Drosophila melanogaster: one gene and its partners. The protein of the gene in region 3 interacts with the protein of the main gene of each other region in a pairwise test. Each region holds a gene or a part of one and is shown on either strand. Other genes may lie near its edges.

Region 1 (5,002 bases), on a different chromosome or scaffold from region 3:
GCTTGGAGATGCTGGGCCTGCTGCTGCAGAGCCACCGGCAACTGGCTGAGGGTGAGACTTAGACTGGGAATAGTCACTGGCAGACTACTCTTTGGTTCGGGCTGCAGCTGGGGCTGATTGTTCGGGTTGTTGGGGTCGCTAGGAGCAAAGTACTGATATTCGTCTAGGGCCGCACTGCTGCTGTTGTTGTTGCTGCTATTGCGGCTTACGCAGTTGTTGTTATTGTTGCTGCTGCCTGTGGCTACTGGTGCTGAATCCAAAGAGCCGTGCTTGATGCGCTCGCGAGATCTAAAAAGCAAAAGTTGTAATTAGCTTTTTTGGAAAGCGGGTGCTTGCCTCAAGGTTAGCAGATAGGTGCTATGATGCAGATCCGCAGGCATGCATTTCATTCTTGCCTGTTGGTCAGTTCTGGACCGACCACATGAAACAAATTCAAAGTTTTAATAGAATTTCTATGTATACCCTTCCTAAATGCTTAAATTTAGATTTGACTTGCACACAATCCTTGTGAATTATCTAGACATTTATATTCTTATCTGCGTCATTGTTCTTATTCGGTAGACAACAGTTATTTTCTTTAACTAGTTTTTATTTGATTTGATTTCAGTAAAATCAATGTAAATTTATTGTAACCGAGGAAGGTGACTTGCGTATTATTTTGAGAACTATCTCGACATTTATATTCCCAATCCCTTACACTAATCATTCTTCTTATAACAATAAAAACTTAAAAATCGCGTAAAATCAAAATCTAAATGTTGAATATGTAAATATGTTTAGGCTTTTAAGTGACGGTGATTATTTCGCGGTCACCTCTCTCCGAATTTGCTCAAACAACTTTTTCAGTGATTATAATCGGAACACAATTGCTGTAGTCGAAAACCCGACTATCACATACCCGTTACTCAGCTAGTGCGAACGCGAAATTCTATAATTTTCCTTGCTTGTCGATAGATATTGGGGAATTAAAATTGTTGTGAGCGGTTTGAATTTTTCAGAAGAGGCGTAGCCAAAGTGTTTTTGGTATATCGGTAAGATAAAAAAAATGAAACCAAGAAAAATGAAAACATTTTTCAAAAGTGTGGTATTTTATAGTTCCTGAGCTCGAGGCTTGGCTATTGATCCTGTTCAGAAATATATATATGTACCTTATATGGTCGAAAACGCTTCCTTTTACCTGTTACACACTTTTCAACGAATTTAGTAAACCCTTTTTCCAAAGACACTAGAACAAATAACTGGAATGTCCAAAATCCCTTAAACGGGATCTACATATATCATAAGGTAGTATTTTAGGGCAGGTCAAACGTCGTCTTACTTGCGTTCCCGAATGACCTCCTTGAGGAAGGCCATGGCATCGTAGTATTCCCACTTGGACTTGAAGCGCGTGGTGCCCAGCATCTTTTCGTGGTTCAGCTCGCGGCGGAAGATCTCGCGGAGCGAAGTAAACGTGCGCTGCACCCGCTCGCCATTAACGTTGAAGAGCCGCCCCAACTCGTTCCATTTGATGGCTTTTCGCTTGTCCGAACGCTTGTAGTGTGGCAGGCGGCAGTCCCAGAGGATTGGGTTGAGTCGCACGAGCTCGATGAGTCGGCGCTTCTCGATGTTGTGGCGGGAAAAGGCCATGCTCCTCCGCTCTCTGCTCTTTCAGTCGCTGTTGGCCGAAATGCAACTACCAAAAAGGCCACTGCGCATGTCCTGTGTCGCCGGATGCTGCGCTGCAAAGTAAGTATAGAAATGAGGTGAGAAAATCGTTAAAGTTGCTTGTGCTGATGGTCGCCATGTTCGTTGCATACTTTTCGGCGTATTTCTCGGGTGGGTGCTTAGGGGTTCAAAAGTGTTGACACACGCACCCACGCACCTTGGGTGCAATGACCCCAGCAGGAGGGGTGTTTTTGTTTTCGAAATCGCATACGCACAGTTAAATACAATTGATTTTCGGGAGTATGGGTCCCACTGAAACTGAGACAACAGAGGGGACAAATCAAATACGGGAAATCTGCTTATAGCAGACCCTACAAACCCCAACCCCCACCTCCCCCATCAATTAATGTATGTATTCCACTTTCCCATAAGAGGCTGTTAGTTAAACAATAATCGAATACTGTAAACATTGGCATTCTGAGAGGCTGACTCGGCAGGAAAGTATTTACATACGATTTCGTGTGCCGATCGAGGAATTTCAGCTGCTACTGTTGGTCTGCGACCGATCTGATTGTGGAGGGAACAAGACTACACAAGGATTGGTATTGGTAGGACGCCTCCTTCTCTTTGGCTGCAGCTTGAACTCATTTGCAGTGCACAGCACGCCACACACTCACTAATGGGAACACACTGGGGTCTATAAATAAACGCATGTGCTCTTTTTGGTTATTGCCACCAATTGCTTGTGATACCAACATTATTCACATTGTTCGCTCGGAATTCCTTAGATGTTCTGGTTGTTTGTCGCTTGTACTCAAAGTCGTCTGACGCCTGGAATGGAACTAAAACCTTTTGCTCACAGTTTTGTTTACTGCTGCTGATTCGCTGTTGCGTCGCTCCGGCTTCTCTTTATTAACAATATGAGCAGCAAAGTCGGGGAATTTATTTCAATTTATTTCAATTAACAACAAATGCGGCCGTTGGTGCTTTGCCATGCGGCGTAGTTGCTGCCACTTATTGGGGATGCTGTTGTTATGTGTTGTGTTGCGAGTTGCTCGAGGGCCTTGCCACAACTATTGGCTGCCACAGATTCAGATACAGATACAGATGTTCGGCAACACGGCAAAATAACCACACTCATACACGCGCCCGGCCCTGTTGTCAGTGTGAAATCGCGTATATGTATACACACATTGCCTATGCGGACAGCCGAGAGAGACGAAAACATCAAAAAACAACACGAATAGCGAACTTTGACGAAAATCTGCAGCCAAACGGGCAGCTAACTTGCGATTACTACTAGTGAACCTGTCACTATTTGGTACATCCACTTGCCACTTTTCACTTGTCACCTCTCGCTTGGCCGTTCGTTGGCTTGGCAGCTTCCTTTTAGAGAGTGCGCCGCTGCTCTCCTCGACGATTGTCACAACTGCACAGCAAACCAACTTAGTTTTCTTGCAAATTGGCGCAGCAGCACAAAGAGAGCCGGAGAGAAAGTGAGCGAATGGCGCTTTTCTTTTCTGCTCCGCTCCAGAGCGCAAAGCACGGGAGAGAGAATGAGAGCAGAGGATGCTATTGTTGTTGTTGCAGTGCCGCCTACGCTGGTGTAAACAATCGGAGGCTGCCAATCCTATGCTATTACACTACACAACAAAAGAAATTGGCATAGTGAGGGAGCCTAGAGGGCTGCGTGAATAATGTAATTATAAACTCAACTTTTTGTGTGTGTGTGGAGTGATACGAAAAGATATTTACTTGGTATCTATTTAGGACTATATTAGACATATCCTCCACTCAAACGGGACGCATTTTAAAATAAATAAAATGAAATTTAATAAAAAAATGTATATTATAGGAAACCTTTAAAGCCGTCTTCTTTAAAACACCTTGGTGGAGTACCGGTAAAATATTAGCCATCTATCTATTCATCGAAATCATTACATAAATGGCATTATATATATTCTGTTTATCTATTCTAAAATATATAACTGATAGCTGAAGAAATAGCTGAAGTTTGGAAATGTTCTAGTCACAGTGTTTCAAACTTTGTTAGGCAGTGTTATTTTCGCTGTGAAAAATATTTATCGCCGTTGCGGTTCCGTTTGTGGCAGTGACACGTTATCGCCGAGCCGTGCCCAGTGATTAATCCAAGAGTGATAGCACTAAGTGGCTTGTGAGCGCTATTTGCTTACCACCAGCCGGATAAATAATGAACGGATTGCACCCAGGATTGGCAGCACCCGGCAATGAGCGCAGTCTCCGCAAAGCAACAATTGTACGCTGAGCTGTAGCTGAAGCAACAGCTTGAGCATGAGAGTTCCGAGAGAGCAAGGGATGAAGTCGAGGTCGAGTTTTGGTAGCAAGCTGAGCTGTGGCACAGGAATGAGCGAGGGAGGAGGCAAGGGGCACAGAGGACGAACTGCGGATTAACAATGGTAGCCACTCGCTCTGCTCGCGCGCCATTCGGCATTCGGCATCTATCATCCCATTTGGCTGCACTGCTGGTGCGGATATTTAACAATGCGAACAAGCACAAACAAAAAGGCTGCGCACACACACACGCGCGCTGGCAAATATTCAATTTGCCACTGCTGCAATCAACTTTATTGCCCGCTGTTGCTGTTGCTCTTGTTTACTCGTTGTTGTCTCCCGCTTGGTCATCTAAAAAATAAGCTTTAAGAATGAACTCGTATTTATCAATCGCACCAACACAGCCATCCGTGTTTTCGCTCTCCCTTTCCTTTTTCAGCAGAACGCAGCATACCGCTTTGTCTGATTCTGATTCGACTTATCAGTATGCGTTCTCGGCGCTGATGAATCTGCAGTTGAGTCGAACGCGGTCCACAGCTTAAATTAAATCCATTACTGCAATGTAATCCGTGGTACACAAATATTTTCGGATAGGCAACAGCATGTCACGGGCGTGTCAGATTGGGATAAAATCAGCTGAGTAGGGCGACTTCGGTTCCGTTAGGGGCCAGGGAAAATTGCCTATTATTTTACGTAGTAAGAACATTCATATTGTTCTATTGATATATGTATTTGCGATTTAAGTTTAGTTTTTCAATTCACAAAAAAAACTTATAAATGTGATTCCAAGTTGTTGTGCCATCCCGGAACAGTACAAACCATTAGAAAAAATTGACCAACTTTTTTACACGACGCTTTAATGGTGTTTCCATTGCACTATGGGAAATTTACCCACTTTTTGTGCACAAAATTAACACCTTTATAAAGGAGATATTAAGATATATTAAGATAATTATACTCGTTACTCGTAGAGTAAAAGGGTATACTAGATTCGTTGAAAAGTATGTAATAGGCAGAATGAAGCGTTTCCAACCATATAAAGTATATT
Region 2 (3,378 bases), on a different chromosome or scaffold from region 3:
TAGGCCGCTTTAAGCATTCGTGTGCGGCATTTTATTAATCCACGTCGATTTGTTTGTAAATAGATAACGATACGATATTGTATTGTATCCGCCGAATCCACAGATAACGACTCGATTTAATTTCAATTGTGCTTTTTCGCCGCTCCGCTCACGCACACTACCTCACACACACAGACGAGACCGCGTAGCACGTCCGAACGATCCGAGAGATGAAAAAGTAAAAAAGTGTTTGTTTTGTTTTCCTTCCTAGCGATGGCACGCGCATCGATGTTGGCTCGATACTTTCGCTGGCGCTTGGGATTATATACTTGCGCTGTTTTTTCTCTTCGGCGCTGGTACGGTCATACCGCGAATTGTACTCTCTGAGATTCGAGTTCGAAAGTACGTTTAGCATATGCAGCAACCAACTAAGAGATAAAATTCGAAATCAAGTTTTTGGCGGGGTTTATTGATATAGAAAATAGACTTCGAATTCTATATCAAAACTACGTTAATCAGCGAAAATTGTAAGTTAAACAAAAAACTATTGAAACTATTGATTATACACAGCGATTTTATATTTCAAAATATCAAACTTGATGGTAAAAGATAAGATTTAAGGTTTTTAAACCTTATTGAATTGCACAAAGTTTTCCGACTGATGCTTGATGTACGATTTGCGACAGTCCATTTCATCAGCAGGACGATTGTGTGGAGCCCAGACAGGTTCGCCCACAAAATAGCGACGAGTTCTGATAAAGTTCTAAGAAAAAACAATACAAATAGTTTAAGTTTGTATATAAGATTGTCAAAATAACTTACATTGGTATCCAAAGTAAAGCGGTGATATATGCCAGCTGGTATAATGATCAGATCTCCCTTGACAACCTTAATGCGCAACCAGTTGTCCTCATTGCTATAAAGAATAAATAGTTTTCCGTTTTAAAACAATTCCAAAAATGTTATTAGTGTGAGCAAAAACAATATCAGTAAGAATATGAATGCTTGAACTATTTAATTGGGAAAATGTGGCTGGGATACTATAAAATGCGGTGTAAATAAACAAAACTTACTCGCGAACATCAAAGTAACCGGATCCCTCCAATATCAGGCGAATTTCCTCATCCGTGTGCAGGTGTTCGGTGAAAAAGGCTTTCAACTTGTTGGCATAGTCTGGAAGGCACTTTTCCGAGCATGTGATCTGTAATAATTCGAAGTTTACCAAAGTTCGGTAGATGTTTTTCAAGAAAACATCGATCTTGCCTCATCATCGTAGGTGTAGCCACGTTTTGCCCTCAGTTCCGTGAGGGTATTATCGCTCTGGTACTCGTCCGCATTGATCTGCAAATGTGAATGATCAAGATAAGCTCGCCCCCAAGGTCACTTAAGGTTTTTAAAGTCGCAATTTCGCTTTTCACTTGCCTTAAAGTATTCCACGCCGGTCTTCTGGTACAGATCATCCAGTTCCAAGTAGGCAGGCGGATTGCGGTGGTGCTCCAGGCGCTGATCGGTTTCCTCCGTATCCATATACCAAACCTGCACCATTTTGGACTGTTTTAAACGGGTTTTCACGAGCAACGAGCAACAAATAGATTAAACAAGAAAAATTCAACTGGCATCAGCTGTTCGTTTTCGAATTTTCGAAATCGATAACAGACACTCAGGCGAATGCCGCTAGTGCTGTTAACTTAACATTCGAAAATGAATGCTGTTAGTTTTGTGTTCGAAATACTGCTATTTTAAAAACTTCATTTTTGAAATGTTCGATTTAAAACGTAAAATAACCATAATTTTAATAACCTTCAAAAGGAGTTATTTTTCTATTTTTTTTTTGTTCCATTATTACTCTTTATTATTTTACGATAGATATACGATTTTTGGGCAGTTTGTTGTATGTTTTGACTTTAATTGAATTTGTAGCGTGCAATTTTGCCTTTCGTTACTATTATCTAGTTTAATTTGTGTAGACATCTGACAGTTTGGTACTAACAATCTTTTAGTACGCGAAAATGCTAGGTTTCTGGTTTTATGTTACATTTATTGGCGTTACAAAGGAGCACAGGATTACGCAGTCAGTTTGGACAGTTCCTCGCGCAGCTCGGCCGTGTCAATGGCTCCCTTCGCTTGCGATTGCGGCTGGGCTTGGGCTTGGGCTTGGGATTGGGCCAGGAGGCGGGCACAGTTCTTCTTGTGCATGAACCAATGCAGCCGCTGGCATTCGCGATCGCAATACTGCACCGCCTTGCACTTGGAGCACTTCTTGTCCGGTTTCTCGGCGCCGCAGGTGCTGCAGTAGTTGCCCTCGTCCTGAAAATTAGTTTTCCAGATTAGAAAAGAATCATTTGATTATGAGATCATGATACCCACCGTAATCCACCTCATCCCATTGATGGCATTTCGCAGGACAGTCAGTGCTGGTGGGGCATCCTTGGCGCCAAATTGCGTTGCGATTTGCCGGAAGATGGTGCACTCTCTCACGGGAAACTCCCTGGCACATTCGCGCAACGTGTATTCCACATAGTCCAGCTGGCCCAGCTTGTTCTCCTTGAGCACCCGCTTCACAAACATCTCGATGAAATCGTTCTTGTTCGCATCGCCCGCCTCCTCGCCACTTTTCTCCTTGTGCTGCGCCTTGAATTGCTCCTCGCAGCGTATTAGTTCGGCCAAAATCCAGCCCTGATAATGGAACTTGAAGGCCAGCAGCTCGTTGAGGTCATGCGACTTCTGCATCTCCTTTTCGCACATCAAAGCCAGCGTCTTGCGCAGACTGGACAGGATCCTAAGCAATCCCAAGGACTGCACATTCAGGGCAATCCTCACGGGATGCAGGTTGATTTCGGTGACAAAGGCGTGGAACGATTTGAGTAAGCTGGGTGGTATATGCGGCTCCGTCTGCTGGCCATGCACTTGGGTGTAGTACTCCAAACTCGACTGGGTCACATAGTTGTTGATGGTCTCCACGCAGGCGTGGTTGCCCACAAAGGCGGCCATTTGGGCGGCGGTCCTGTTGACACTATTGATGCTACCCGGCTTGATGCCAGCATCCAAAAGAAGCCGGCACACATGTGTATTGCCCGATAGAGCGGCGAAATGCAGTGGCGTATAATCAGCTCCATGCTGATTGAGGTTTATGTCGGCACCCTGTGGAAGAAAAGGCGGTTATTTCATGTTTAGAGCCCAAGCGGTGGTTGCCTGGCAGATGTACCCACCATGTCCAGGAGCAGCTGCACCGCCTCGCGGTTTCCCTTGAAGCTGGCGTGGGCCAAACACGACATCCCGGTGTCGTCCACGAAATTAACATTCCTCACTCCGCTCAGCAGCTGCTTGAATCCACTGGTGTCATTCTTGGCCAGATGATCCAGCAACTGGCGCTGCACGTCGTCCAGCTGTACGATCTTC
Region 3 (3,715 bases):
CGTGGACAATTGTGACTATGATTTCGATATGAATCGTTACTTAAACTCCACTTTAGAATAGTAAGTACATTTCGTGTTTCCGGTAAAAACTTTTATATTTATTAAACATCTTTTTTAATAGCGAACCTCACAGTGGATCATCTATATATCACATGTCATTCCTGTTATACGCTATGTTGGGAGCCCTACTTACAATTATAACTTCAAACTTGGCTACTTTCGTCTACGGACGTCAGGATATCAAGAACGTTGATGAGAATCTTCTGGCACCAGTTGTTCAACGCTACTTGCGAAAAAACAATTACTATCAGAGCGTGGAGCTCAAGAAAGTTGAGGTACCAAAACTCAGTGAAAGTTCCGATTAAGCGATTTGTTGAGCAATGCAGTTGCTGTTACCATTGCTTAACAGTTTTGTTCCTATTGATAAGTATGAATTAGTTCATACATCAACATATTTCCTAATAATTCGATAGAGATTTTGTTTGTTCCTAAAAGGTAAATAAAAGCTTAAGAGGCTTAAAAAAGTGTAAATAAATACAGCAGTAGCTTGCATTCATTTTAGATTAATTAAAACTGTTTGTTTTTATTAAAATTTTTACTATAAAATTGATGTCTCAATTTGCTTTGGCTGCTAAGACTACCAATTGCAAAACACGAAAAGGGTTCCCAATTCATTTGATTCCTATATACGTGCAATGCAATTGGGAGTCTTAACAGATTTTTGTTTCAGGGGCTGCATAAAAGACTACTTCTATTTGCCTTTATTCTGACCAGTTTTGCGAATTAACTTTTGCCGGGGAATTGGACAATTGCGGACGTAAGGTGGATAGGTCATGGCCGGAAGGCAGACAATATTATCCTGTCTGTGGTTAGAAGATCTAGATGAGCTGCTTCTAGAGACTTTTGAAGCATGTTGGTTCTGATTAAACCGCGTAGGATTGGGGGAAGTACGGCCGGAAAGGTCTGGCATGCTGTAAGAAGTGGATTGTCTTGGGAGATCAGGAGCAGTTGCATGCCTTGAAGACGACCGGGACACCTGATTGCTCCTGGCGGTAGACTCCTGATCCGTACTGGAATTGTACAAATGATAAACCAATGGCACCTGCTGTTGGCACAATTGATGTTGCGGGGCTTTCGGCACTCGTTCCTTTGCCTCGCCACCAGTGCTTCTTTTCGAGAGGTCCACACTGGAACTTCTACTTTTACGAACCCGTGCATTTCGCACCTCCTTGCAAGTGCACATCCGCTTCCGTTCTCGTTCCAACTTCCGGTCCCTTTCCAGATCTTGCTCTTCCTTGCGCCGCTGTTTGTTCGCCTTCGCTTGATTGAGCGCTCTGTAGTGCACGGTTTGGTTGTCGATGAGCATTTGGGTAACGAATTTGAATTGGTTCAAGCTCGCTTCACTCTGAGCGGCAATTTCTAAAGGACATCGGTGAAGTTGTGATATAACAGTTTACTACGCTTCTTACATTATAATAATTGATTTTTATTTAATAAAAATTTTTAACCGAACTTACTGTTGGTGACATCGTGATAGATTTTATTGAGCATCGCCTCCTGATTCTGTAGGTCCTTCGACAGTCGTTCCATTTTGGCCACGGATTGCTCAAAGCTCTTGGACACCATTCGCCGCACAGCATCCTGTACCGATTCCAGGACATTATCGTGAATGATGCTAAAGAAGTCGGCAAAGGATTCCTGCAGATCGCGATTGGGATCGTTGCTGGGACTGGAGGTCATTTTATCCGTTTTTCTATCGTCGCCACCAGAATTGCGAGTGTCTTTTTCACTCGAACAAATCACGGGTGTTTCCCGGAATCCTACGCTTTTGGAGGACGAATCCTTGTCCCGCAAAGAGCTCGACTTGGATATATTCCGTTGGCGCTCCGTTCGATGGCGAGTCCTTCTCCTGCCGGCTGACGTCACTGAGGGAGAGGAATGCCGTACTACCTTTCTTTTCAAAACATCATAGCCCGACTGTCTGGCCGATTTCGTAAAGCAGTAATTTGGAAACATGACTTTTTTGACGAATTTTTAGGATGTAGATCGATTTAAAATTGGCGGCTCATGTTATTGTAATGAAATCTTTGCCTTCGCATCATGTGGATGTAAGCTCTTTTGAAATTAAATAGCTTGTTTTTTTTCAGATATTTATTTTGAAAGATAAATCCAAAATGGGATTGCTATAAAACAATTGTTATATCTTCCTATTTGCATAATTTATTGTTCAACTATATTTATTTATCTTCGTTTTGTACTTGTTTCACAAAATCAACATTTTTTATTATAAAATCCATGGTAAATAAGAATGAATACCAATTAAGTAAATAATTTTCCATAAATTTTTTTTCGCAAGACTTCGGCATTGTTTACTAACTCGCTAATAGCAATTCAATTAAAAGTTAATAATTAAATTGCAAAATCATAATTGCAAAAATTTTGCAACTGTCCGCCATCCGAAGTAAGCTTCTTAATGGATTTTTCCTCCTCCGTCGAGTCCAATGAGGCGGATGGCCGACAGGGAAAAGTATTTGTGCGAAAGGACCTGAAATGAATTTATTTGCCAACCATCCCATTAAGTAACCATAGTTTCCATCTGCTCGCCCAACCGATTAAATGTCAGTCAGGAAGTGGAGCAAGTGAATTCGCAAGGGTTGATGCGTATCATGAATTTAACCAGCCTCAAAACAAACATAAACAGTATGAATATCCAGAGTTGGCATGTTAAAATTGCCATTTGCAGACAATAAGAGTAAAGCACATAACCTTTGGCTGTTTGCAGAGCCCACAGCAACCAATATGTTTTCATTGTCTGCCCGGTTTGTCGCTCAATTTATTTGTGATGTTGACTTTCCAACAGTGACGTCAGTGGAGGCCACAGACAATACCACATCATCGCAACAATTATAAATGGTGTGGTGGCGAAAAAACGTCCTTGTGCCCATTGTTCAGTGGGGCGAACTGAAAAGTGGATTTTCCAGCGCGTGCCAGGAAAATGAATGAAAATGCGGGACATTCTTGAAGTCGTTGCCTTTATTCTGCTTTCACACATAATTATGAAATAAATATTAGCTTAAACCAAATTGACTACAACGTTATGCTCTATTAACTCTTATGGTCTACTTATGCTTAATGGGTTTTGGTTTAAGATGCTTGGGCATGTTTATCCACCATTACGAGTGGCTATATACACGGATGAGTTGGAATTTAAATGGCCTTAATAGCTAGTTAGGACTGGAAAGAAATGCATTTTAAATTTCTGATAAATGGCCGCGATTCACATACAAGTAAAATCAGTCTGTTTAAGAGAATATAACTAAACCGAGCTACTAATGGATTGAAACCTAGGTTCTGAGTGGTGGACAAAAAATCTTAATAGTTTTCGAAACACTTATTTCATTAGGATACCATATACTTAAATTAATTTCTCCAGTTTAAAGTTGATTGCAAAAATGCCTAATTAAATGTTTCAGGTAAGTTTTTTGGAAATATAAAACCTTTGTACCAATATCAAATTATAATGGGTTCTTTAGTTAAAATTTAATAAAAATCAAAATCTTGAATAGATTCAATTACCCATTTTGACACTTTAGATTTTTAATTTTAGAGTTAATTAAATGCCGTATAAATGTTATCTTAACTATAGATTGCGAAGTAGAAATAGGTTTGAAATTCGTAGCGTAGACTTGGCGTACTTACGACTAGAAACATACAT
Region 4 (4,863 bases), 7.3 Mb from region 3:
CTGGTGTGGAAAGTGAGCCTGCTGTTGATGGCTGGCGAGGAAGTGCTGCTGAGGCACCTGCGGAATCACCAGCGCGGCTGTTGAGGTGGTGACACCACGCCCAAAGCCCGACGTCTGCGGCTGCTGCTGCTGCTGGTTGAAGCGATAATCCGGAGTGACCTGCGCTGGCTGGTACAAAGTGGACACGCTGCTCGTGGTGGGATGTGCGGATGTGCTGGCTCGCGCCTCAGTTGTGGGCGGTGAGCATTTCAGTGCTTTCATCGGTGGATTGCTCGGTTTGCTGCTGCTGAGGCTGCTGCTGTTGCTTGCTGAGGTGGAGGTGGGTGTGGAGCTGGTTGTCGAAGAGGCGGCTCCGTTGGAGCAGGCCGCCACGAGGGAGGAGGATAGCGGTGGTGGTGCTGGTGGCAGCACAGGCGCTGTTGCTGCTGATATGGTATTGACCACGACTGGTTTGACATCGCCGCCAGAAGGGGGTGATAAGACGGCCGGTTTCTCATCAGCACTGGCTTCGCCGCCGCTGGATCCACCTCCTCCAGATCCTCCTGTCAACATGGCGGCAGCGAGAACGCTGCCCATGCTGTTGCCACCGTTCCCAACGATCGTCATCTGCACCAGCGCCTTGATCACCTGCTCCTTGGGATGGGTCTCCAAGTGATCGGAGAGATTCATGCCCGCATGCAGGTACAATGTGCACACGGGGCATTGGACACTGTTGTCGACCATGATGACGATTTTAGATTGTTCTATGTGTGGCTCCTGCCTACTCCTACTCCTGCTCACTGGCTGCTCCTGCTCTCTGGGAGCCTGGCTTCTAGCTTTCTAGTGCGACGGATGACTGGCGTGGTTGCCCTTCAGAGTCATAAAACAGCGTATCTCCTTGGCTTGGCGTCCATCTTGCTCAATCCTCTGATTCGACGCGGGTGAGCTGCATTGGAGAATATAAAGAATGTCAGAATGTTGGTGCCAGAAATTACTGTACCAGTCCCTGGGCACATTCTGCGCTCCGATATCAACGTCTTCGGTGAAACGATACCCGATATGCGAAGAATGCGCCGTCCGGCGATCCAAGTGATCAAGTATCCACGGAATGCGTAATGTTTAATCTTAACAAACGCGTCTTTTTACAAAACCAATCCAAATTTATAAAGCTGATAATTTAATAATAAACCCTACTTTTCTTATAGAAAGGTGATTTGGACTGGAAGAACCCTTCGCACATCGTGCATCCTAACTGTTGAAAGTAACTCAATTAAAACCACAAATGTTTTACTATCGGGGGTAGCACAAATAATCAGTAAAAAAACGTTCGTTGGAAGTTTCTTGTAGTGAGTAATTTCTTTAAAAGCCAACAAAATAAAAGCATGATAAAAATAAAATTGTTTCAACAGCGAGTGCATTTCTAATATGATGATTATAATGATTTTGGTTTACCAGTAATTATTTTGTTCTTTAGAAAGCTACCAAATAAGTACAATTAAACATACAAGGCATATTTAATAATTGAGGATCGCAAAGGATCAAAATGAGAGAACAAGAGTCAATAAACTTTTCTAGCACAAAGCAGACCCAACCTCAACACAGTCACCCTTAAAGTCGATTCCACATTTTCGAAATCAGAGGTGCCATTTTAAATCGATTCTATTGATTTAGTAAAGCCATGTCTTATATTCGAATCCGTTCATATTAACCACATTCTCTGAGTAGAGCAACATAAGAATTCTGATTAGAAGGTCCTGTTTGGGCAATGGAAATGGCGGATTGGAATGCCGGTTGCAGATGGGTGAGACAACTTCTGGAGCAGCTTTTTTCTCTCGGGGAGCCAGAGCAGCAGGAAGAAACGGAATCAGAATCGGAAAAAAAGAGGCAACGACCCAGACCCAGCCTGCTGACGAGTTATTGGCCGTTCATCTGGTTTGCCTTTTGCTGCTTGCCTTTTGCGATAACTTTTGCTTTTATTTATAGTCTGTCTGCAGACCAACATTCACTTGTTTCTTTTTTGGGATTTGGCCATCTCTGCAAGGGTGGCTCTTTGTTTTGGGGGCGAAGGACAATGCGAGGGCTGCACATAAACAGCGGCAAACAAATGTCTACGTCTGTTGCTATTGATTTTTCCTTTGCCAAAGGTTACACACACCACGCACACACAACACCCACATGCACACATGCACACACAGACTGTCGAAAAATTGAGGAGCACACGGTGCGTAAATGCATTATGATTTATTCCAGTATCCCAGTTTGCAGCGACAACAATCGCCAGCCAACCTTTTTTCCAGTGTGCACACACGCGCGCTTGTTTGTGTGCGTTAATGTCGCTGATCTTGCCACTTATTGTACGATTTTTTTCTGCTGATTATTATTCACATAATTACAGACACACACAATTTAAAAATGCACATATTTCCGCTTTTGTTCACCAGCCATTGCCATCGATTTCGTTTTCGTTTCGTCCATGGAATGGAATGACACTTCCACAAAGAGAGGACGCCAGCTAATTACCAGTATCGATCGAGAGAGAGAGCGGCTGAGAGCGTATCCTTGGAAATGTAAAGAGCGTGGTGCACCTGCGGCCGCTTAAAGATGAAGAGGAAGTGGAGTTGGAGGAGGAACTGGAACAGGAGGACCAGGAGCCAGGAGGCTCTCTTCTCTTCTTTTTCTCGTTCAATGACACAGAAATCTTTCCTCTCGTCTTCCGCTTTGTGCGCTCCTTCTTCCAATATACAAGCGAGCTTTTTATATGTGCGAGTGCGACTGCGAGGCCATCGCTGCGTTTATCTCCCTCTGTCTGTGTGTGTGTGCGTTTGTGTGTGTTGGAGTGCGTGTGGCTACACACAAAGTAATATTTTCAAGCACGTTTTTCATGCACTTCGAGCCGTTTTTTGTCTATTGCCGCATAGAAAACGAATAAACGCCACTTTCATCTACAATTTGGTGTACAATTCGTGCATATTGGTGCACTTTTCACTATCAAAAACCGTTTAAATCGTTTTCACCTTGCGACAAGAAAAATTACAACACCAGGCGTTGGAGTGCTGCAAAACGTATGCGGGCTGCGGGAACTTACCAGCACTAGCAGTGGTGGTATTTTTGGCTAAGCAGGGCATTTAGCTATTTTCTTGCTAAATACTACGTTTCTAAGTGATGGCAATGGATGAGAATCCCAAAAATTAGACCAATACTGTTAATTATTTTCTCAGGTGTTTAGATAAGAAAATAAAATAAAATGGCTTGCGTATCTGTTATTACACTTTGTTTAATATTTTGCGTCCCATACCGCTTTATTTCCCAAAAAGTATATGAAAAGTATGAATCCCTGGTAAGGGAAATTATTCAAGGAAGAAGAAGAAACAGCAAGCCGGAACGCAGGGAATTTTTTAGACAAGTTTGTCAACGTTTGCTAAGATTTTGTCGAGTTTGTGCAGTAAATAATAACAAACAACAGATATGGCAGATAAGGCGCAGGAACAAAGTATAATGGACAAGTCCATGCGGTCGGTTTTTGTGGGGAACATACCCTACGAGGCCACCGAGGAGAAGCTAAAGGAGATTTTCAGCGAAGTGGGCCCGGTCTTGTCACTGAAGTGAGTTCCCTACTTAGAGCCATGCAATATCTCACTGTAAACCTCCTATTCTCAATCCCCCAGACTGGTCTTTGATCGGGAAAGTGGCAAACCCAAGGGCTTTGGCTTCTGCGAGTACAAGGACCAGGAGACGGCTTTAAGTGCCATGCGGAATCTGAATGGCTATGAGATCGGCGGCAGAACACTGCGAGTGGACAACGCGTGTACGGAGAAGTCGCGCATGGAGATGCAGCAGCTGCTTCAGGGACCCCAGGTGGAGAATCCCTATGGCGAGCCCTGCGAACCAGAGGATGCTCCCGAGCTCATCACCAAAACGGTGGCTTCCTTGCCGCCGGAGCAAATGTACGAGCTGATGAAGCAGATGAAGCTCTGCATCGTGAGCAATCCATCGGAGGCACGCCAGATGCTAATGCTCAATCCTCAGTTGGCGTACGCTTTGCTCCAGGCCATGGTGGTTATGAGGATCGTGGACCCTCAGCAGGCGCTCGGGATGCTCTTCAAGGCCAACCAAATGCCCCCCGTCTTGGGCGGCAATCCGCACCAGGGGCCGGGGAATCACACCATGATGGGTCAGCAACAGGTTCCGCAACAGCAGGTGCAGATCCCGCAGCAACAGCAACAGGCTCCCCAGCCACCAATGCCCGTTCCCGGACCTGGCTTCCCGGCCAATGTCCATCCGAACGATATCGATTTGCGCATGGTGCCGGGTGGACCCATGCCGATGGATCCCAGGATGATGGGCCGTGGCATGGACCAGGATTTGCGAGCTTCTCTACCCAATCCAGTGCCACCGCCGCTGATGGATCCCCGAGCTCGTGCCCAGATGCCCCCACAGCAGCAGCAGGGCGTTCCGCAGGCGCCACCGGCCCCCTATCCCAGCGATCCGCGCCAGCGTCCCATGGATCCCAGGTTAAGGGCAGGACCTGGTCCTCAGCAGCAGGCGCCGCCACAAGGAATCCCCCAAGCGCCGCCACCGACACAACAACAGCAGGCGGCCGCTCAGCAGTTGCAGAGCAGACTAGGCGCCCATGGAGTCCTGCCCTCGGATGCCTCCGACCAGGAGAAGGCTGCCCTCATCATGCAGGTACTGCAGCTGTCCGACGAACAGATTGCGCAGCTGCCCTCCGAGCAACGGGTCAGTATTGTCATGCTCAAAGAGCAGATTGCGAAGAGTACCCAGCGCTGAAACTACTCTGGCTGAAACAAATGAAAAATCACCATTTCGCTCATGCATACTATAGTACTTTCAACATTGAATCAATTAATAAAAAGAACATTTCAA

Evidence for each region.
Region 1: the proteins of CG14546 (region 3) and CG12768 interact in a two-hybrid assay, tested with the Drosophila melanogaster proteins (one large-scale study listed by BioGRID).
Region 2: the proteins of CG14546 (region 3) and Adi1 interact in a two-hybrid assay, tested with the Drosophila melanogaster proteins (one large-scale study listed by BioGRID).
Region 4: the proteins of CG14546 (region 3) and CG31224 interact in a two-hybrid assay, tested with the Drosophila melanogaster proteins (one large-scale study listed by BioGRID).

Annotation. Positions count from the first base shown.
Region 1 is NT_037436.4:22,908,550-22,913,551, reverse strand, and holds the start of CG12768 (uncharacterized protein), read right to left. Parts: upstream 3,062-5,002; 5' UTR 2,980-3,061; intron 2,720-2,979; exon of another isoform or gene 2,401-2,719; intron 1,963-2,400; exon of another isoform or gene 1,797-1,962; intron 1,719-1,796; 5' UTR 1,627-1,718; coding exon 1,319-1,626; intron 289-1,318; coding exon 1-288.
Region 2 is NT_037436.4:10,661,592-10,664,969, reverse strand, and holds Adi1 (acireductone dioxygenase 1), read right to left. Parts: upstream 1,595-3,378; 5' UTR 1,525-1,594; coding exon 1,402-1,524; intron 1,321-1,401; coding exon 1,243-1,320; intron 1,181-1,242; coding exon 1,053-1,180; intron 896-1,052; coding exon 802-895; intron 743-801; coding exon 605-742; 3' UTR 535-604; downstream 1-534. Other genes in the region: CG8003 (uncharacterized protein), read right to left, coding at 2,044-2,286, 2,347-3,120, 3,189-3,378. UniProt on the Drosophila melanogaster protein: Catalyzes 2 different reactions between oxygen and the acireductone 1,2-dihydroxy-3-keto-5-methylthiopentene (DHK-MTPene) depending upon the metal bound in the active site.
Region 3 is NT_033777.3:25,920,482-25,924,196, forward strand, and holds CG14546 (uncharacterized protein), read right to left. Parts: upstream 2,154-3,715; 5' UTR 2,017-2,153; coding exon 1,518-2,016; intron 1,420-1,517; coding exon 752-1,419; 3' UTR 561-751; downstream 1-560.
Region 4 is NT_033777.3:18,656,261-18,661,123, forward strand, and holds the start of CG31224 (uncharacterized protein), read right to left. Parts: upstream 3,050-4,863; 5' UTR 2,500-3,049; exon of another isoform or gene 2,266-2,499; intron 926-2,265; 5' UTR 724-925; coding exon 1-723. Other genes in the region: CstF64 (cleavage stimulation factor 64 kD subunit), read left to right, coding at 3,445-3,581, 3,645-4,767.